Anolis sagrei: one gene and its partner. The protein of the gene in region 2 interacts with the protein of the main gene of each other region in a pairwise test. Links are inferred from orthologs where the notes say so. Each region holds a gene or a part of one and is shown on either strand. Other genes may lie near its edges.

Region 1 (11,518 bases), about 990 kb from region 2:
ACAGCCAGGTTTTTGTTTTCTTCGAAACACCATTAGGGAAGGGGCTGATCTAATGTCCATGGGAAGGGCATCCCACAGCCGAGGGGCCACCACAGAGAAGGCCCTGTCCCTCTTTGCCCCACCCCAGCCATTCCACAGATATATAAACCCATTGTCCTAATTCCAACAGACCTCACTACCTCTGAGGATGCTTGCCATAGATGCAGGCGAAACGTCAGGAGAGAATGCCTCTGGAACATGGCCCTATAGCCCGAAAAAACCCACAAGAACCTAGTGATTCCAGCCATGAGAGCCTTCGGCAATACAGTTCACCAGATTTCTGGGAGTCGAAGGCCAAGACATCTGGGGACCCACAGGTTGATGAACCACTGCTCTATGGGAAACTGAGCCCTTGCCTTACTTATCTTAATATTTATGCTTGCAAAGAAAGTTTAACTTGAAGGACTCCACCGTCCTTCAAAAAAAAATGACACTTTGCTTGTGTAAAATCTTCCTGACTCACATCTTTATCTGTCACAAACATGTGTTGTTCCACTTGAGGAATCTGACATCCATATTAGGCCATTTCCTCTGCTCTTTCTCTCCTCCCACAAATCCATTCAAATCTCCCTCTGATTCTGCCTTTATGAATGGAAGGGAGGCACGACAAGAAAGAAGAATAGAACTTGAGGAAGAATAGAACAAAAACCCTTTTTGGATATGCAAAATCAAAACTTCCATTTAGCAAAAGGCATAGAAAGGGAAAACAACATACAAAACCTGTATTAATTCTGGAAAGCGCACCAGGTTATTTAATGATGTAGACAAGACGCCGGACAATAGAGAAGTGGAACAAAGACAACCGAAAATACACTGGACTATTTAATAAATGTAAATAAATATGAGCAGGGAAAGACGTAGGAAAACGTGTATTTTGTTTTGTGTATTTTAATATGTGTTTTATAGAAATACCAACCATTCCCTGCATCATGTCCCAATTTGTTGTAATTTTAGTTTTTTTAATATTGGTAGCCAGATTTTGTTCATTTTCATGGTTTCCTCCTTTCTGTTGAAATTTAAAATATTAAAAAACTCTAAAATTACAAGAGAGTAAACAATCAGGCACATCGAATCATCTCTCAACAAAAAATTGCTCCAGGCACTGCCAAGCCATCAAATGCTAATCAAGGTGGTCAGTTGAAACATACACACCTAGCTCCAGCAGACAAGAGTCCTTTGTCCCACCCCAGTCATTCCACAGATATATAAACCCATTTTCCTACTTCCAACAGACCTCACTACCTCTGAGGATGCTTGCCATAGATGCAGGCGAAACGTCAGGAGGGAATGCCTCTAGAACATGGCCATACAGCCCAGAAAAACCTACAACAACCCATACATCTAATCACCTCTCAACAAAAGATTTCCCCAGGCACTGCCGGGCCATCAAATGCTAATCAAGGTGGTCAGTTGAAACATTCACACCTAGCTCCAGCAGACAAGAGTCCTTTGTCCCACCCTGGTCATTCCACAGATATATAAACCCCTTTTTTTCCTAGTTCCAACAGACCTCACTACCTCTGAGGATGCTTGCCATAGATGCAGGCAAAACGTCAGGAGAGAATGCCTCTCTAGACCATGGCCATATAGCCCAGAAAAACCTACAACAACCCAGACATCTAATCACCTCTCAACAAAAGATTTCCCCAGGCACTGCCAGGCCACCAAATGCTAATCAATGTGGTTAGTTGAAACATTCACACCTAGCTCCAGCAGACAAGAGTCCTTTGTCCCACCCTGGCCATTCCACAGATATATAAACCCACTTTACTAGTTCCAACAGACCTCACGACCTCTGAGGATGCTTGCCATAGATGCAGGCGAAACGTCAGGAGAGAATGCCTCTGGAACATGGCCATATAGCCCGAAAAAACCTACAACAACCCAGTGATTCTGGCCATGAAAGCCTTCGACAAAACAAGCCTTCGATAATAATATATTATTATTTTTATTATTATCATAGCACAATATTATATATTACATTGTACTATAACATTATACTGTTGTTATTATTATTAGCAATATTACATTTAATATAAAAATATGATTATAATATCATTTTATTATTGTAGTAGTATATTGTGTCACACTATAATAGTATCAATATGACATGTATATTCAATATATTATTATATTTGAATCACCAGGAAAGGATTGGCAGTGCCTGGGGAAATCTTTTGTTAAGAGGTGATTAGATGTCTGGGTTGTTGTAGGTTTTTCCGGGCTGTATGGCCATGGTCTAGAGGCATTCTCTCCTGACCTTTCACCTACATCTATGGCAAGCATCCTCAGAGGTTGTGAGGTCTGTTGGAAGTAGGAAAAGGGGTTTATATATCTGTGGAATGACCAGGGTGGGACAAAGGACTCTTGTCTGCTGGAGCTAGGTGGGAATGTTTCAACTGACCACCTTGATTAGCATTTAATCATAGAATCATAGAATCAAAGAGTTGGAAGAGACCTCATGGGCCATCCAGTCCAACCCCATTCTGCCAAGAAGCAGGAATATTGCATTCAAATCACCCCTGACAGATGGCCATCCAGCCTCTGCTTAAAAGCTTCCAAAGAAGGAGCCTCCACCACACTCCGGGGCAGAGAGTTCCACTGCTGAACGGCTCTCACAGTCAGGAAGTTCTTCCTCATGTTCAGATGGAATCTCCTCTCTTGGAGTTTGAAGCCATTGTTCCTTGTCCTAATCTCCAGGGAAGCAGTAAACAAGCTTGCTCCCTCCTCCTCCCTGTGGCTTCCTCTCACATATTTATACATGGCTATCATCATATCTCCTCTCAGCCTTCTCTTCTTCAGGCTAAACATGCCCAGCTCCTTGAGCCGCTCCTCATAGGGCTTGTTCTCCAGACCTTTTATCATTTTAGTCGCTTAATGGCTTGGAAGTGCCTGGGGCAACCTTTTGTTGAGAGGTGATTAGATGTCTGGGTTGTTGTGGGTTTTTCCGGGTTGTATGGCCATGGTCTAGAGGCATTCTCCCCTGACGTTTCGCCTGCATCTATGGCAAGCATCCTCAGAGGTAGTGAGGTCTGTTGGAACTAGGAAAAAGGGTTTATATATTTGTGGAATGACCAGGGTGGGACAAAGGACTCTTGTCTGCTGGAGCTATGTGTTTCAACTGACCACCTTGATTAGCATTTAATGGCTTGGAAGTGCCTGGAGGAATCTTTTGTTGAGAGGTGATTCGATGTGCCTGATTGTTTACTCTCTGTTGTTTTGCTGTTGTAATTTTAGAGTTTTTTGTAATATTTTAAATTTCAACAGAAAGGAGGAAACCATGAAAATGAACAAAAGCTGGCTACAAATAATATAGTATATTGTGTGTGTGTGTGTATATATATAATATTTATAATATTATAATGTAATGCAATATAATACTAGTAATAATAATACAATATTATAATTATAATTATATGTTTACATTACATGTAACATTATTAATAATATTACAATATAATGGTATAGTGCAATCTATATAAATAAAAATGTAATGTTCATTTGTGGGATTAACAAATCTCAAAAACCACTGGATGAATTGACACCAAATTTGGACACAAGATACCTGCTATAACCCAATGTATGTCTTTCACTCAAAAAAAATGATTCTGTCATTTGGGAATTGTCGTTGCTGGGATTTATAGTTTACCTACAATCAAAGAGCATTCTGAACTCCACCAACGATGGAATTGGGCCAAACTTGGCACACAGTTCTCCCATGACCAAGAAAATACTGGAAGGGTTTGGTGGGCATTCACGTTGAGTTTGGGAGTTGTAGTTCACCTACATCCAGAGATCACTGTGGACTCGAACAATGATGGATCTGGACCAAACTGTACAAGAATACTCAATATGCCCAAATGTGAACACTGGTGGAGTTTGGGGAAAATAGAATCTTGAGATTTGGGAGTTGTAGTTGCTGGGATTTATAGTTCACTTACAATCAAAGAGCATTCTGAACTCCACCAACGATGGAATTGGGCCAAACTTAGCACACAGGGCTCCCATGGCCAACAGAAAAAACTGGAAGGGTTTGGGAATTATAGTTCACCCACAAATTAATTAGCATTTAATTGCTTGGAAGTGCCTGGGGGAATCTTTTGTTGAGAGGCGATTAGATGTGCCTGATTGTTTAGCCTTTGTTGTTTTGCTGTTGTAACACCTTCTCTCTCCTCAACTGCCCCCCAAAGCACCCAATCCTGCCTGATCTTGGCTGCTAAGCAGGGCCAGCCCTGGCGAGTATCTTGGGTGGGAGACTGACAAAGCAGAACTACAGATCTGGGCCATAATTTGGAGCAAGAATGGAGCAGAACAGAGCTTGAGGCCCTCCTGGGTGAGGAAACCCCGCCAGGCCCATTGGGAGGCCCCTGCCCGGCTTAAAGAGGCATTCACACGTGCAAAAGAAGACACGCGTCAGGGGAAAATAGCCCCCCGAGGGGGTTTTCTTCCCTCCTTCCTCCCTCCTCGGTTTCCCCGGACTTACTGAGCACCAGGACGGGGCGCTGGCCCAGCATCTTTTCCCTCACGTCGCCGCGGAACCTTCTGGAGGAAAGAAAGGAGGAGGGGACGGGAAAGCGCCGTTTCACCGCGCCCCGCGCAGCCTAACTCGCCCGCTGGGGCACTCCGCCAATCAGAGGCCTCTCTCTCCGGCTCTGCGCCAATAGGAAAACGCGTCTCCTCATAACGGCCACGCCTACTTCCCCAGCATGGTAGGTTGAGAGGGACAACGGGCCGCACGGTTGTGAAGAATGAAGGGAGGGGGAGTAATGCGCGTGCGCGGAGTCCTCTTCCACACATGCGCATGCGTTGAGGAGACGGGGAAGGAAAAACGCAAGGCTGCTAATGCGCCTGCGCAGAAGGGAAAGAGCTGCTAAGCCTACACTGAAGCGACAGGGCTGCTAATGCGCCTGCGCAGAAAGGAAAGGGCTGCTAAGTAGTATACACTGAAGCGAAAAGGCTGCTAATGCGCCTGCGCAGAAGGGAAAGAGCTGCTAAGCCTACACTGAAGCGACAGGGCTGCTAATGCGCCTGCGCAGAAGGGAAAGGGCTGCTAAGTAGCCTACACTGAAGCCAAAAGGCTGCTATTGCGCCTGCGCAGAAGGGAAAGGGCGGCTAAGTAGCTTAAGCAGAAACAAAAGATTTCTAATGCGGCTGCGCGTAAGAGAAAGAGTTGCTAATGCGCCTGCGCAGAAGGGAAAGCGCTGCTAAGTAGCTTACGCAGAAATGAAAAGGCTTCTAATGCGCTTGCGCAGAAGAGAAAGGGCGGCTAAGGTTTAAGCAGAAGCAAAAGAGTTGCTAATGCGCCTGCGCAGAAGGGAAAAGGCTGCTAAGTAGACTATGCAGGAGCTAAAGAGTTGCTAATACGCCTGCGCAGAAGGAAAAGAGTTCCTAATGCGCCTGCGCGGAAGGGAAATGGCTGCTAAATAGCCTACACGGAAGTGAAAAGGCTGCTAATGCGCCTGCGCAGAAGGGAAAGGACTGCTAAGTAGTTTAAGCGGCAACAAAAGGCTTATAATGCGCCTGCGCAGAAGAGAAAGAGTTGCTAATGCGCCTGCGCAGAAGGGAAAGAGTGGCTAGTTTTCGCAGAGAAAGGGCGGCTAATGCGCCTGCGCAGAAGGGAAAGCGTTGCTAATGCGCCTGCGCGGTTTTAGTCAGCGGTTGCTAGATGGAGCCTTCACGCCCTCCGGCCCGGCGTTCCCCCAGAGGCGAGTTTTTTGGGGGAGAAACCCCCCAGAGACAACATTTGGCACCCCATTGGCCAGATGGGATTTGTAGTCCTCCGTGTCTCCTGTCCGTTGGAGTCTCAATGGCGGCTGAGTCATGCCCAGGCCTAGGCCACGCCCCTTCCGCGCGGGGCATGATGGGAGCTGTAGTTTGCGGCCCTCCTGAGCCTGCTTTGGTTGAAGGGAGGCAGTTCCTAGCAGGCCTCTTGAACCCTGCCATTGAATCCAGGTTATCAGAGCACATCCTCCACATAATCTGCTCTGAACTGGGTTATGTGAGTCTGCACTGCCAGATAATCCAGTTCAGAGCAGATAATCTGGATTCCACACTGCCATGGAGTAAAATCCAGGTTTGAACTAGATTATATAGCTGTGTAGACCAGCTGTGAAGCCCCCGGTGGCACAGTGGGTTAGATTATAATAATAATATTAATAATAATAAAATAATAATAATAATAGCCTGAAGCCTTAGGGAGGAGCAGGTAAGAAATATAATAAGAAAATGGTAATAATAATAAATATCATTAATACTACTACTAATAGCCTGAAGCTTTAGGGAGGAGCAGGTAAGAAATATAATAATAATAATAAAGTAATATTATTAATACTACTACTACTAATAGTTTGAAGCCTTAGGGAGGAATAGGTAAGAAATATAATAATAATAAAGTAATATCATTAATACTGCTACTACTAATAGTTTGAAGCCTTAGGGGGGAGCAGGTAAGAAATATAATAATAATAGTAAGAATAATAATATTAGGAGCCCCCAGTGGAGCAGTGGGTTAAAGTGCTGACCTGCTGAACTTGCTGACTGAAAGGTTGATGATTCGAATCTGGGTTGCGGGGTGAGCTTCTGCTGTTAGCCCCAGCTTCTGCCAACCTAGTAGTTTGAAAGCATGCACATGTGAGTAGATCAATAGATATTGCTCCGACGGGAAGGTAACAGCGCTCCATGCAATCATGCTGGCCACATGACCTTGGAGGTGTCTACGGATAGTGCCAACTCTTCGGTTTAGAAATGGAGATGAGCACCAAAGTCGCATAGTCGGTCCCGACGGGACTTAATGTCAGGGGAAAACCTTTACCTAGACCAGGCATGGGCCAACTTGGGCACTTAAATTGTTATTGCAGAATATACAGACACAACCTGCCATGGATCCAGGCGAAACGTCAGGAGAGAATGCTTCTGGAACAGGGTCAGACAACCCGAAAAACTTACAACAACCCAAATATCACATAAATTATTATTAGTAAATATAGTTAAACAAATATCACAGATTTCAATTATTACAACCTATGACTCTTCAATGACTCAATGGCCTGACCCAGGCAGTTTGGACTATGACTTATCAGTACACATAATAAAAGTGAAAATATATATGTGACTGGGGTGCCCACTTACACAGACAAGCTCCTGCCTCCACAAAGAGCTATAGTTCCCACTACTCAGGAGACAACAAAAGCCCTCCCTCCAGTGACATTGCAGGTCATAGCGAGCACCATGAACATGTCCAAGAGCCCTGCCAATGTCCCCCACCAACACCAGACTGCCCACCACCCAAGGGAAGGCTTTCCTTCGGGGACAATTCCATCCTAGATTGTATGTGTTTCCTCCACCACAGACACCACAGTGTAAACATGTCCAAGAGCCCTGCCAATGTCCTCCACCAACACTGGACTGCCCACCACCCAAGGGAAGGCTTTCACACCGGGAAAATTCCATCCTAGATTGTATGTGTTTCCTCCACCAGAGACATCACAGTGTAAACAGGTCCAAGAGCCCTGCCAATGTCCTCCACCAACACCGGACTGCCCACCACCCAAGGGAAGGCTTTCATTCGGGGACGATTCCATCCTAGATTGTATGTGTTCCCTCCACCATAGACATCACAGTGTAAACAGGTCCAACAGCCCTGTCGATGTCCTCCACCAACACTGCCCACCACCCAAGGGAAGGCTTTCTTTCAGGGACATGTGTTTCCTCCACCAGATCCATTATTGTTTGAGTCCACAGTGCTCTCTGGATGTAGGTGAACTACAAATCCAAAACTCAAGGTCAAAGCCCACGAAACCCTTCCAGTATTTTCCGTTGCTCATGGGAGTTTTGTGTGCCAAGATTGGTTCAATTCTATCATTGATGGAGTTCAGAATGCTCTTTGATTTTAGGTGAACTATAAATCCCAGCAACTACAATCCCCAAATGTCAAGGTCTGTTTTCCCCCAAACTCCACCAGTGTTCACATTTGATCATATTGATTATTTGTGCCAAGTTTGGTCCAGATCTATCATCGTTTGAGTCTCTGGATGTAGGTGAACTACGACTCCCAAACTCAAGGTCAATGGCCACCAAACCCAGTATTTTTTGTTGGTCATGAGAGTTCTGTGTACCAAGCTTGGTTCAATTCTATCGTTAGTGGAGTTCAGAATGCTCTTTGATTTTAGGTGAACTATAAATCCCAGCAACTACAATCCCCAAATGAATACAAAGTTCAAGCTTAAATGGGAAGTTGGTTTGTGGTTAAGCGCAAAGTCTGCAGGTGCGAGAAGGTACTTTTCATCAAGAAGTTGATGGGACAGGAAGAGCAATGTATATTTATTTATTTATTTCACATATTTCTACCCCGCCCTTCTCAACCCCCGAGGGGGGACTCAGGGCGGCTTACAAAAGGCACAATTTGATGCCTACACAATAATACAGATAAACATATATAAACAACAATTAAAACAATTATAACAGTTAAAAACAATTATATTCACAATCAATAAAAAATCAATCTCATGCTCAACGTTCGCCAACTCAGAGTCCATAAATTAGTTCCACCTTGTCCATTCCTATCAGTCGTCATCGTCTTTTATTTATCTGCCGGATTGCCCAAACGCCTGGTCCCAAATCCACGTTTTTAGTTTCCTTCTAAAGGAAAGGAGGGTTGTCGATGATCTAATTTCCCCGGGGAGTGAATTCCACAGGTGAGGGGCCACCACCGAGAAGGTCCTGCTCCTCGTCCCCGACAGTCTCACTTGTGATAGAGGCGGGGCTGAGAGCAGGGCCTCACCAGAAGATCTTAAACTCCGAGTCGTAAAGGGAGATGCGTTCGGACAGATACACTGGGCCGGAACCGTATAGGGTTTTGTAGGTCAAAACCAGCACTTTGAATTGTGCTCGGAACTGGATTGGCAGCCAGTGGAGCTGACATAACAGAGGGATGGTATGCTCCCTGTATGATGCTCCGGTGAGTAATCTGGCTGCCTCCCGCTGGACTAATTGAAGTTTCTGAACAGTCTTCAAAAACAACCCCATGTAGAGTGCGTTGCAGTAATCTATTCGGGATGTAACAAGAGTGTGGACCACTGTGGCCAGATCCACTGTGTACCCTTTCCCTGTAGAAAAGGAGCAACACAAAAGAAAATGTTTTTAAAAAAACAGGAGGTGACATGTAGAGGTTATACAAAGTTCAAGCTTACATAGGAAGTTGGTTTGTGGTTAAGTGCAAAGTCTGCAGGTGTGAGAAGGTACTCTCCATCAAGAGGCTGATGGGACAGGAAGAGCAATATACCCCTTCCCTGTAGAAAAGGAGCAGCACGAAGGAAAATGTTTTAAAAAACAAGAGGTGACATGTAGAGGTCATACAAAGTTCAAGCTTACATAGGAAGTTGGTTTGTGGTTAAGCACAAAGTCTGCAGGTGTGAGAAGGTACTCTCCATCAAGAGGTTGATGGGACAGGAAGAGCAATGTACCCCTTCCCTGTAGAAAAGGAGCAGCACGATGGAAAATATTTTAAAAAAACAAGAGGTGACATGTACAGGTCATATAAAGTTCAAACTTAAATGGGAAGTTGGTTTGTGGTTAAGCGCAAAATCTGCATGTGTGAGAAGGAACTTTCCATCAAGAGGCTGATGGGACAGGAAGAGCAATATACCCCTTCCCTGTAGAAAAGGAGCAGCATGAAGGAAAATGTTTAAAAAAAACAAGAGGTGACATGTAGAGGTCGTACAAAGTTCAAGCTTACATAGGAAGTTGGTTTGTGGTTAAGTGCAAAGTCTGCAGGTGTGAGAAGGTACTCTCCATCAAGAGGTTGATGGGACAGGAAGAGCAATGTACCCCTTCCCTGTAGAAAAGGAGCAGCACGAAGGAAAATATTTTAAAAAAACAAGAGGTGACATGTAGAGGTTATACAAAGTTCAAGCTTACATAGGAAGTTGGTTTGTGGTTAAGTGCAAAGTCTGCAAGTGTGAGAAGGTACTTTCCATCAAGAGGTTGATGGGACAGGAAGAGCAATGTACCCCTTCCCTGTAGAAAAGGAACAGCATGAAGGAAAATGTTTTAAAAAACAAGAGGTGACATGTAGAGGTCATACAAAGTTCAAGCTTACATAGGAAGTTGGTTTGTGGTTAAGTGCAAAGTCTGCAGGTGTGAGAAGGTACTTTCCATCAAGAGGTTGATGGGATAGGAAGAGCAATGTACCCCTTCCCTGTAGAAAAGGAGCAGCACAAAAGAAAATGTTTTAAAAAACAAGAGGTGACATATAGAGGTCATACAAAGTTCAAGCTTACATAGGAAGTTGGTTTGTGGTTAAGCGCAAAGTCTGCAGGTACAAGAAGGTACTTTCCATCAAGAGGTTGATGGGACAGGAAGAGCAAAGGTCAAAGTACTTTCCATGACAAAAATATTCTTGTTTACATGATGGTATAAAGGTTTGCAAATAGCCAAGGAGGGGCGCAGCAGTCTGTGGGTGCACTTACAAAGGTGCTGTCTGTTCGCCTCATGCTGATCAGCTTGAATAAACGGTGTCTTACCTGAACCTATTGGACTCTGGATTTCTTAGAAAAGGGACCCCGCACCCTAAACCCGTGATCCCTTACAGTGTAGCTAAAAAGGCCAATGCGATGCTAGGTTGCATCCTTAGGAGGAGTGTTCTAATTTTTACTATTTATTTATCTCTGACAGTATGAAACCGGAAAGATCCCGGAAGACCGGCTTGACCCTAAATAAGAAACATAAGCCTCTCCCTCCGGTTCAAATCAAAGGGGAGTTGTTTTCCAGTCTTGGACCTTCTTCCATTTTTCCCTCCTTTAAGAAAAAGACATCCCTAAGGGATTCCTCTTCTTCCTCAATCCATATTCTCTTCTTTTTTCGTATCCTCCCTTTCTAGGGACTGAGTCGGGTCCCGTTCGGATGGAGCCGGAAGTCGACCCCCAAGATGAGAAACCGCACCGGAAAAGTAAGCCAGTTGCACTCTTGGCTGGAATCCACCTTTACGCTCAACTCACAAAGGAGTCCAAGAGCATTAATGAAAAAGTTTATTGAGAAAAGAAAATATAAAAAGGGAAAAACAATTCTGGGCACAACCATTGATGGGAGATACTGACAATCTATATAAATAAAAATGTAATGTTCGTTTGTGGGATTAACAGAACTCAAAAAACCACTGGACGAATTATATTAATAATAATAATATAATATAATATTATTAGTATTCTATTGTATTAAATTATAATATAAATATTATATGTATATACAATATTATAATATAAACCAGAGTCAGACATGACTGGACTTAATGTCAGGGGACTACCTTTACCTTTTTTAATGTGTATACAATATTATAATATAAATATATATGTTTTATATATGTAAAATATTATTAGCATAGTACAATATCAGTATTATATATTGCTATATTGTACTATACCAGTATTTCTCAACCTGGGGGTCAGGACCCCGGGGGGGTCACAAGGGGGTGTCAGTGGGGTCA
Region 2 (11,648 bases):
AATGATCTGCAGGATGTATTTTCATTCACTAGAGCAAATTTGGCACAAATACCCAGTATGCCCAAATTTGAATACTGCTGGAGTTGGCGGGGGGATTGATTTTGTCATTTGGGAGTTGTAGTTGCTGGGATTTATAGTTAGCATGTAAACAAAGAGAATTCTGAACCCCACCAACAATGGAATCGAACCAAAATTGGCACAGAGAACTCCCATGATCCACAGAAAATACTGGAAGGGTTTGGTGGGCATTGACTTTGAGAGTTGTAGTTTGCGTACGTCCAGTGAGCACTGTGGACTCAAACAATGATGGATCTGGACCAAACTTGGCACGGATACTCAATATGCCCAAATGTGAACACTGATGGGGTTTGGGGAAAATAGACTTTGACATTTGGGAGTTGTAGATACTGGGATTTATAGTTCACCTACAATCAAGGAGCGTTCTGAACTCCACCAATGATAGAATTGGGCCAAACTTCCCACACAGAACCCCCAAGACCAACCCCCATGACTGTGCTTTCTGATGGTCTTCGGCGACCCCTCTGACACCCCTTTGCGACCCCCTGGTTGAGAAACACTGGCATAGGGAGATGCGATTATACAAATACCCTGGACCCGAACCGTTTAGGGCTTTATAGGTAACGACCTGTACTTTGTATTTAGCTCGGAAATAGACCGTCAGCCAGCATGAGGGTTGTCCTCACGATACAGCACTCCAGTTCGCAGTCTAGCCACCAATCTCTGCACTAATCGCTTCCAAACTATCCTCAAAGGCAGCCCAATGTAGAGAGCATTGCAGTAGTCCAAACAGGATGTGACTAAAGGCATGGTCTACCATGGCCAAGTCTGGTGTCTCAAGTTTTACCTCCCAAGGTACACCTGGAGTTCCAGGGTCCCCAATGTGCACAGGATCACCCCCAGACTGTGTACCCGTGTCTTCAGGGGGAGTGCGACCCCCTCACCCTGATCCGCCTTACGACTGACCAGGAGTACCTCTGTCTTGTCTGGATTTAGTTTCAGCTTCTTGGCCCTCATCCAGTCCATTCCTGATGATATATTTCCATTGTATCCCACCTTTCCTCCAAGGAGCTCATTGCAACATGCAAAATGTATTGAGGTGGGTTGAGAGAGAGTTGAGGGAGCATTCAAACCAATGTTCGGTTCAGAGCGGGCTAGAGACGTGTACCCTGTATCCGCCAAAACCCCCAGGACACACAATGGGGTGGGGTTGTGTAACCGTGGCAACTTTATTCTTCAACTCGAATGTCAGATGGGGTAAAGATGTGGAGGGGTGAACCAGTGCGGACTCTCAAGATATCGGCTCCCTGGAGAGGGTTGTAGCACTTTTGCCTTCTTTCCTGGGATAATACAAATATATTATATACACATCCTCTCTATCTTGTGAGTGAGTGTAATCATGCAACCCCCCCCCCCCCAACACACGCATACAAATATAATATTTTTATATATATCCTTGGATAATGTGTGTGCATTCCCATCGTGGTCAACTGTGAATACGCACATATGGTAGGCGCAGAAACTACCATATGTGCAAATTCACAGGTGACCACTCAGGAAACTACGGTTACAGGTAAGCAACCTCTCTCTCTCTCTCTCTCTCTCTCTCTCTCTCTCTATATATATATATATATATATATATATATAATGTGTGTGTATAAAAGGTAAAGGTTTTCCCCTGACATTAAGTCCAGTTGTGTCCTACTCTGGAGTACTCTGAAGGTTGGTGCTCATCTCCATTTCTATTTTGAAGAGCCGGCATTGTCCATAGACACCTCCAGGGTAATGTGACCAGCATGACTGCTTGGAGCACGATTCCTGCCTGAGCAGTACCTATTGATCTACTCACATTTGCATGTTTTCAAACTGCTAGGTTGGCAATCATGCAACCCCCCCCCCAACACACGCATACAAATATAATATTTTTATATATATCCTTGGATAATGTGTGTGCATTCCCATCGTGGTCAACTGTGAATACGCACATATGGTAGGCGCAGAAACTACCATATGTGCAAATTCACAGGTGACCACTCAGGAAACTACGGTTACAGGTAAGCAACCTCTCTCTCTCTCTCTCTCTCTCTCTCTCTCTCTATATATATATATATATATATATATAATGTATGTGTATAAAAGGTAAAGGTTTTCCCCTGACATTAAGTCCAGTTGTGTCCTACTCTGGAGTACTCTGAAGGTTAGTGCTCATCTCCATTTCTACTTTGAAGAGCCGGCATTGTCCATAGACACCTCCAGGGTAATGTGACCAGCATGACTGCTTGGAGCACCATTCCTGCCTGAGCAGTACCTATTGATCTACTCACATTTGCATGTTTTCAAACTGCTAGGTTGGCAGAAGCTGGGGCTAACAGTGGGAGCTCACCCCGCTGGCCATCCAGCCTCTGCTTCACATCCATGTGGCCATGATTTGGGGGAGTTGTAGTTTACCTACATCCAGAAATCACCGATGGATCTGGACCATATGCCAAAATTAGATTCCTAGAGGGGTTTGGGTGGAACTGACCTTCCTTTGTGGGAGTTGTAGCTTACCCTACAGCCAGAGAACACATTGAACCCCGCTTATGATGCATCTAGAGTGCCATTACCTTCCTGCCAAGGCAATACCTATTCATCTACTCATATTTGCATGTTTTTGGACTGCTACATTGGCAGAAGCTGGGCCTAACAGCGGAAGCTCACCCCGCTCCCTAGAGTCAAACCACCAACCTAGTCCCACCAAGTTGTGCAGCTCAGTGTTTTAATGTTCTGCACCCGTGTGTGTATATATACATATATAGGTATGTATGTTGGGGATGGGGGTAGCATGTTGATGCAGCAGGCGTCCTTCAAAGCCTCCAGGAACTATCCACAGAGAGGCCAGACTGATTGATTCCACGTTGAGCCAACAATGTAATGCGCCGGCAAAAAAAGCCAATGGGATTTTGGCCTGCGTCAATAGGAGTCTAGTGTCTAGATCCAGGGAAGTCATGCTCCCCATGCTCTATTCTGCCTTGGTTCGACCACACCTGGAATATTGTGTCCAATTCTGGGCACCACTATTCAAGAGAGAGATTGACAAGCTGGAATGTGTCCAGAGGAGGGCGACTCAAATGATCCAGTATCTGGAGAACAAGCCCTATGAGGAGCGGCTTAAAGAGCTGGGCATGTTTAGCCTGAGGAAGAGAAGGCTGAGAGGGGACATGATAGCCATGTATAAATATGTGAGAGGAAGCCACAGGGAGGAGGGAGCAACTTGTAGACTAGGACACAATGGAGCAATGGCTTCAAACTCCAAGAAAGGAGATTCCATCTGAACATTAGGAAGAACTTCCTGAGTGTGAGAGCTGTTCAGCAGTGGAACTCTCAGCCCTGGAGAGTGGTTGAGGCTTTGAAGCAGAGGCTGGATGGCCATCTGTCGGGGGTGCTTTGAATGCAATTTTCCTGCTTCTTGGCAGAATGGGGTTGGACTGGATGGCCCAGGAGGTCTCTTCCAACTCTAGGATTCTATGATTTGAGAAATAGTTGAGGCCCAGGACACTGCAAGAGACTCAAAAGTTTAGGAAAAGAGATGCCGTCAGCAGAGGCTGGATGGCCGTTTGTCGGGAGGGTTTTGATGGTGACATCCCACCTGCCAGAAGGGAGTGGGGAGTCATACAGGATGGTCTTACCAGAAATGACAACAAACCAAGTCACTTCCTTCCCTCTTCTTTGTTGCTCCGCCTTTTTCCCCATTTTCCTGCAATGTGATTGACCAATACGCCTGCCAGTTGTCTTGGCTGTCTGGCCAACCGCAATTCCTTCCTTGCAAGTAGGTGGGACTGCCAAGTCATAGGTAAAGGTAAAGGTAGTCCCCTGACATTAAGTCCAGTCATGTCTGACTCTGGGGTGTGGTGCTCATCTCCATTTCTAAGCCGAAGAGCCAGCGTTGTCCGTAGACACCTCCAAGGTCATGTGGCCAGCATGACTGCATGCAGCGCCGTTACCTTCCCGCCGGAGCGGTACCTATTGATCTACTCACATTTGCATGTTTTCGAACTGCTAGGTTGACAGAAGCTAGGGCTGACAGCCAAGTCATATCACTCCCGTATTTGTTTGCAGCCTCTTTTTAAGATCTCTGGGAAATGAACATGTTTCAGTATCTTATAACACAAAACAAACTAAAATGGGCTGTTTCCAAGGAAATCAGAAAGTTGTGTACACGACTAGAGGTGGAAAAGACCCCAAAGGCCATCCAGTCCAACCTCTTGACATGCTTTGTCACTTTCCAGCAGTCTATTTTGATGATTTTCTTTCCCTTCCTTGACTTTGCCACATTATTTTCTTTGGTTTTACTGTCCTGGTTCTCTTTGTAACATTCTAATGGAAACCGTGCTCTTGAACTATTTTTGTCAATAAAAATAAAATGACAATAATGACAATGGTTTTGAAGTTTGTTTATTATTCTATATTATTATTATTATTATTATTATTATTATTATTTTGTGGTGTCAGAAGTCGCTTCTGGTGTGAGAGAATTGACCGTCTGCAAGGACGTTGCCCAGGGGACGTCTGGATGATTTTGATGTTTTTTCATCCTTGTGGGAGGCTTCTCTCATGTCCCCGCATGAGGAGCTGGAGCTGATAGAGGGAGCTCATCCGCCTCTCTCCGGATTCGAACCTGCAACCTGTCGGTCTTGAGTCCTGCCGGCACAGGGGTTTAACCCACTGCGCCGCCGGGGGCTCCTTATTCTATATTATGATATTCTATATATTATTTATAATATATTAAAATGCAAATATAATTTGTTATATATATCATAATATGGATGGATGGATGGATGGCATCCTTGAAGTGACTGGACTGACCTTGAAGGAGCTGGGGGTGGTGACGGCCGACAGGGAGCTCTGGCGTGGACTGGTCCATGAGGTCACGAAGAGTCAGAGACAACTGAACGAGTGAACAACAATCATAATATCAATACAGTATATATTTTATATGTATTTATACCATATATGATATGGTATGATATATATTTATACCATATATGATATAGATTATTAGAATTTATAATATAATAGACATGTTTTATTTATAATATTATACAACAATACAATACAATAAGCCTTTATTGGCATAACATGGCAGAGAGTATAAAAAATAGTACACATAATAAAAAAGGGCTTCTCGTTTGCTACACATTCAGTTTGCAGACTTCATTCAGGAATCTTGCCACTGAAAGGCAGCAGCTAAAGTCCTGGCAATTTAAAAGCAAAATCACTTTGTCAGAATTGCTGCGGTTCTTCAGTGAGTCTAAAACTTGTGTTAGCAGACTGGATCTTAGCTCCTGGTAGAGTGGACAGTGCAGGAGAATATGCGGTATGGGGTCTAGCTGTCCTGTGCTGCAGAGGCAGACCCTCTTGTCGCTCGGGAGGCCATTGAGTCTTCCTCTATGGAGCGGCGATGGCATGATGTTAAATCTAGCCAGCATGTAGGCTCTTCTGTAAGAGGGGTTGGTGAGCTCTGTGATGTAGAAGGCTGGATTTCCCTGTGTGTATGGAATTGCCAAGTTAATAGGTGAGCAGGATTTGTTTGCCAAGCTCAACAATTGGTTGTGGTCCCTATCTAGCAGCCTCCTTTTGATGAGGGTAAAAATCTCGGGAAAAGATAGTAGGGTCAGGAAATCGCTGTCGTAGCCCAATTCCCCGATCTTTGCTAGGACAGTTGAGCACCATTTGGAGTGGTGGAGTTCGCTCAAGGTGAGTTGAGTCAGAGAGTCTCTGGGACTTTGATAGTGTATAGATAGCCAAAATTTAATGACGATTAGCCAGATAGTAGCCTCAATAGAATATTGCCCAGATTCAAGACAAAGAACTGCATACGGGACACAGTTGGGGGCACCATATAGTTTGTGGAGGAATTTCGAATGAAAAGATCTCATGGCGCTGTTATTGGGGGTTAACCAGATGGGTGCTCCATAGAGAAGTTGTGACATCGCCTTTGCTTTGAAGACTTGCAGAGCTAGGGGGATATATTGATTACCCCTGGAGTGGAAGAACCTCCTGGTCGCACAGCCACATTTATAATATTATACATTTAGACCTTGAAGGAGCTGGGGGTGGTGACGACCGACGGGGAGCTCTGGCGTGGGCTGGTCCACGAAGTCATGAAGAGTCGGAAACGACTGAACAAATGAACAACAAATTATACATTTTATATATATACATACATATATATCTCGTGTCAGGAGTGACTCCTGGTGTGAGAGAATTGGCAAGGACGTTGCCCAGGGGACACCCAGATGATTTGATGTTTTTATCATCCTTGTGGGAGGCTTCTCTCATGTCCCTGCATGAGGAGCTGGAGCTGATAGAGGGAGCTCATCCGCCTCTCTCCAGATTCGAACTTGCGACCTGTCGGTCTTCAGTCCTGCCGGCACAGGGGTTTAACCCACTGCGCCACCGGGGGCTCATACATTTAATATAATATTAATAGAATGTACTTATATACATTGAAGGAGCTGGGGGTGGTGACGGCCGACAGGGAGCTCTGGCGTGGGCTGGTCCATGAGGTCACGAAGAGTCGGAGACGACTGAACGAATGAACAACAAACTTATATACAGTATATATTTTATATGTATATTATATATGATATAAATTATTAGAAATTATAATATAATAGACATATTATATATGTGTGTGTGTGTAATTTATTTATAATATATAAAATAATAATAATAATAACACTTTATTTATACCCCGCTACCATCTCCCCAAGGGACTCGGTGCGGCTTACATGAGGCCGAACCCAAACACAACAATACAAGCAATAATAACAATAAAAAGGTAAAGGTAGTCCCCTGACATTAAGTCCAGTCATGTCTGACTCTGGGATGTGGTGCTCATCTCCATTTCTAAGCCGAAGAGCCGGCGTTGTCCATAGACACCTCCAAGGTCATGTGGCCGGCATGACTGCATGGAGCGCCGTTACCTTCCCGCCGGAGCGGTACCTATTGATCTACTCACATTTGCATGTTTTCGAACTGCTAGGTTGGCAGAAGCTAGGGCTGACAGCGGAAGCTCACGCCGCTCCCCGGAATCGAACCTGCGACCTTTCGATCAACAAGCTCAGCAGCTCAGCGCTTTAACCCACTGCGCCACCGGGCACATTTCATCAGTTGGTCCCAAACTTGGCTCCAGGAACTGCGGAACTCTCCGCTGCGGTTCACACCAATTTGAAGGCGGGAGCCTCCGCCGCTCTCGGGGTCAATGGGGCTGATTTAGAGCATAGGAACGAAATTCAAGCGGAACCTTTATGTTCGCGGTGAGGTTTCCGGTGGGGACGATTAAGGAGTCGCACCTACCTCCACATAAAAAAGCCTTGCCCGGCAATGAGGTGACGACAGCGGAAGAGGCGTGGCTTAAGCCGGAAGCGGGTGGTCCAGCCTGGGCGAAACATCATGGCGCTCAACGCGGCGGGTAAGTGAGAGGGAGAGAGGAGTAACCATGGCAACGGGGCCTACTCCGGCCTGGCGAGCCAGCTTGGAAGTGGTGAGGAGGCTAGGGAGGGCCTTCCTTCCGCCCATGAACCATGGCTTCTCCCGCAGGCAACGACGACGCGGAGTGGGAGCCTCCCTCGGAGGCGGAGCTGAAGGTGATCCAGGCCCGGCGGGAGCGGCAGGACAAGATCAGCAAGCTGATGGGCGACTACCTCCTGAAGGGCTACCGCATGCTGGGCGAGTGCTGCGAGGAGTGCGGGGTGAGAGCCGAACACAGGGCAATGGGCTCCTCTGAGGATACAAAGAGGGCCAGGGCCTTTCAATTGTGGGCCTCTGAGCATGTAAAGAGTGACAAGTATTCCTGCTGCAAAAAGGGCCTCTGAGCATGTCAAGAGTGCCATGCTCTGTTGCTGCAAAAGAGGCCTCTGAGCATGTCCAGAGTGCCAGGTCCTCTTGCTGCAAAAGGAGCCTCTGAGCATGTAAGATGTTCCACAATCTTTTGCTCCAAATGTGGGCCTCTGAGCATGTAAAGAGTGACAAGTATTCCTGCTGCAAAAAGGGCCTCTGAGCATGTCCAGAGTGCCAGGTCCTCTTGCTGCAAAAAAGGCCTCTGAGCATGTAAGAAGTTCCATGACATTGTGCTCCAAATGTGGACCTCTGAGCATGTAAAGAGTGACAAGTATTCCTGCTGCAAAAAGGGCCTCTGAGCATGTCCAGAGTGCCAGGTCCTCTTGCTGCAAAAAAGGCCTCTGAGCATGTAAGAAGTTCCATGACATTGTGCTCCAAATGTGGGCCTCTGAGCATGTAAAGAGTGACAAGTCTTCCTGCTGCAAAAAGGGTCTCTGGGCATGTCCAGAGTGCCAGGTCCTCTTGCTGCAAAAGGCGTCTCTGAGCATGTAAGAAGTTCCATGACATTTTGCTCCAAATGTGGGCTTCTGAACATGTAAAGAGTGACAAGTCTTCTCGCTGCAAAAAAGGGCCTCTGAGCATGTCCAGAGTGCCAGGCCTTCTTGCTGCAGAAATGGCCCCTGAGCATGTAAGAAGTTCCACAATCTTTTGCTCCAAATGTGGGCCTCTGAGCATGTCCAGAGTGACAAGTCTCACTGCAAAAAGGGCCTTTGAGCATGTCCAGAGTGCCAGGCCTTCTTGCTGCAAAAGTGGCCCCTGAGCATGTAAAGAGTGCCGAGCCCTTTCGCTGCAAACATGTCCTATGAGGATGTAAAGAGTTCCATGACTTTTTGCTGCAAAGGGCCCTCTGAACATGTAAAGAGTGCCATGCTCTGTTGCTGCAAAAGAAGCCTTTGAGCATGCCCAGAGTGCCAGACGTGCTGCAAGGAGAACTTCTGAGCAAGTAAAGAATTCAATTACCTTTACATCCTGAGCATATTAGAGTGGCAGGCCCCTTTGCATCAAAGGGGCCTCTGAACATGTAAAGAGTGCTAGATCCTTTTGGTACAAAGGGGGCCTCTGAGCATGTAAAGAGTGCCATGCCCTTTCGCTCCAAATGTGGGCCTCTGAGAATGTAAAGAGTGACAAGTCTTCTCACTGCAAAAAGGGCCTTTGAGCATGTCCAGAGTGTCAGATTTTTGCTGCAGAGAAGGCTTCTGAGCATGTAAAGAGTTACCATGACATTTTGCTCCAAATGTGGGCCTCTGAGCATGCAAAGAGTGCCGAGCCCTTTCATTGCAAAAGGGGCCTTTGAGCATGTCCAGAGTGCCAGGCCTTCTTGCTGCAGAAGTGGCCCCTGAGCATGTAAAAAGTTCAACAATCTTTTGCTCCAAATGTGGGCCTCTGAGCATGTAAAGAGTGCCATGCTCTGTTGCTGCAAAAGGAGCCTCTGAGCATGTCCAGAGTGCCAGGCCTTCTTGCTGCAAAAGGGGCCCCTGAGCATGTAAGAAGTTCAACAGGCTTTTGCTCCAAATGTGGACCTCTGAGCATGCAAAGAGTGCCAGGCCCTTTTGCTCCAAATGTGGCCCCTGAGCATGTAAGAAGTTCAACAAACTTTTGCTCCAAATATGGGCCTCTGAGCATATAAAGAGTGCCGAGCCCTTTCGCTGCAAACCTGCCCTATGAGGATGTAAAGAGTTCCATGACTTTTTGCTGCAAAGAGGGCCTCTGAGCATGTAAAGAGTGCCATGCTCTGTTGCTGCAAAAGGAGCCTTTGAGCATGTCCAGAGTGCCAGACTTGTTGCAAAGAGAGCCTCTGAGCATGTAAAGTATTCAGTTACCTTTTATTGCAAAGGGGGCCTCTGAGTATATCATAGTGGCAGGCCCTTTTGCAGCAACAGGGGCCTCTGAGCATGTAAAAAGTTCCATGACATTTTGCTCCAAACGTGGGCCTCTGAATATGTAAAGAGTGCTGAGCCCTTCCACTACAACCGTGTCCTATGAGGATGTAAAGAGTTCCATGACAGAGTGGCAGTCCCATTTGTAGGAAAGGGTCCTCTGAGCATGCAAAGAGTGCCATGTCCTGTTGCTGCAAAGGGAGCCTTTGAGCAAGTCCAGAGTCCCAGACTTTTGCTGCAAAGAGGGCCTCTGAGCATGCAAAGAGTGCCAGGCCTCACAGCCTCTCAGGATGCTTGCTATAGATCCAGGCGAAACATCAGGAGAGAATGCTTCTAGAACATGGCCCTATACCCCGAAAACCTACAACAACCCAGTGTCATGAGCTTTTGCTGCAAAAGGAGCATTTGAGCATGTCCAGAGTGCCAGGCTCTCTTGCTGCAAAAGGGGTCTCTGAGCATGTAAAAGGTTCCATGACATTTTGCTCCAAATGTGGGCCTCTGAGCATGTAAAGAGTGCCGAGCCCTTTCACTGCAAACGTGTCCTATGAGGATATCAAGAGTTCCATGACTACTTGCTGCAAAAGGGGCCTCTGAGTATGACAGAGTGGCAGGCCCATTTGCAGAAAAGGGTCCTCTGAGCATGTAAAGAGTGCTATGAGCTTTTGCTGCAAATGGAGCCTTTGAGCATGTCCAGAGTGCTGCAAAGAGTGCCTCTGAGCATGTAAAAAGTTCCAAGACCTTATTGCTCCAAGTGTGGGCCTCTGAGCATGTGTTTATTTATTTTACAATACTGTGTTTATGACATTTATATGTCACCCTTCTCAGAGCGGCTTACAAGATATCTATACATACAATAGATTATATTATTAGCATAGCACAATATCAGTACTATATATTACTATATTGTACTATACTATTATATTGTAATATTATAAGTAATATTGCATGTAATATAAAATATATAATTATAATACTGTATTATTATTAGTTTTATATTGCATTACATTATATTACAGATGTTATATGTATATACAATATATTATATTATATTGTGTGTAAAGAATTCCATGACTTTTTCTTGCAAAAGGGGCCTCTGAACATGTAAAGAGTGCCAGATCCTTTTGGTACAAGGGGGGGGGGGCTGAGCATGTCCAGAATGTTCTTTTACCTTCCCAAGCAAGTAAGAGCTCTTTGGCCTTTCCCCCTCTTTTCCGTCCTGATTTTTGCAGGCGTTGCGTTCTTTATTTCCCAGCTCTAACTCTTTCTTTCCTTGGCTCTCCTTTGCGACATTTTCCCTTCCAGACTATTTTGCTGCAAGACAAGCAGAAGAAACTCTACTGCGTCGCCTGCCAGGAACTCAACTCTGACGTCGACAAGGACAATCCGGGTGAGGCTCAAGAACTGGCTAACATCTTCGTTATGTCTTCAGGGTAATCCTCTGTCAGGAGGGTTTGGCTGGTGTCTCCCTTCCAATTCTGTGATTTATTGATTTATTCTTTTCGTCTTTGGGGATGGCCATCTGTCGGGAGGGCTTGACTGGTGTCTCCCTTCCAATACTGTGATTTATTGATTTATTCTTTGTGTCTTTGGGGATGGCCATCTGTCGGGAGGGCTTGGCTGGTGTCTCCCTTCCAATACTGTGATTTATTGATTTATTCTTTGTGTTTTTGGGGATGGCCATCTGTCGGGAGGGCTTGGCTGGTGTCTCTCTTCCAATACGGTGATTTATTGATTTATTCTTTGCTTCTTTGGGAATAGGCATCTGTCGGGAGGGCTTGACTGGTGTCTCCCTTCCCCCTTGGGGTCCCAATTCTATGATTTATTGATTTATTCTTTGTGTCTTTGGGGATGGCCATCTGTCGGCAACTT

Evidence for each region.
Region 1: the proteins of ZNRD2 (region 2) and CCT3 interact in binary tests that used the Homo sapiens proteins (3 or more experiments, as listed by UniProt). The two-hybrid records come from large-scale screens. The link is inferred for Anolis sagrei from reciprocal best matches to the Homo sapiens genes ZNRD2 and CCT3.

Annotation. Positions count from the first base shown.
Region 1 is NC_090032.1:21,239,152-21,250,669, reverse strand, and holds the start of CCT3 (T-complex protein 1 subunit gamma), read right to left. Parts: upstream 4,655-11,518; 5' UTR 4,554-4,654; coding exon 4,523-4,553; intron 1-4,522. Other genes in the region: TSACC (TSSK6-activating co-chaperone protein), read left to right, coding at 10,939-10,984. UniProt on the Homo sapiens protein: Component of the chaperonin-containing T-complex (TRiC), a molecular chaperone complex that assists the folding of actin, tubulin and other proteins upon ATP hydrolysis.
Region 2 is NC_090032.1:20,250,643-20,262,290, reverse strand, and holds the start of ZNRD2 (protein ZNRD2), read left to right. Parts: upstream 1-7,366; 5' UTR 7,367-7,455; coding exon 7,456-7,474; intron 7,475-7,602; coding exon 7,603-7,754; intron 7,755-11,081; coding exon 11,082-11,166; intron 11,167-11,648. UniProt on the Homo sapiens protein: Might play a role in mitosis. Antigenic molecule. Could be a centromere-associated protein. May induce anti-centromere antibodies.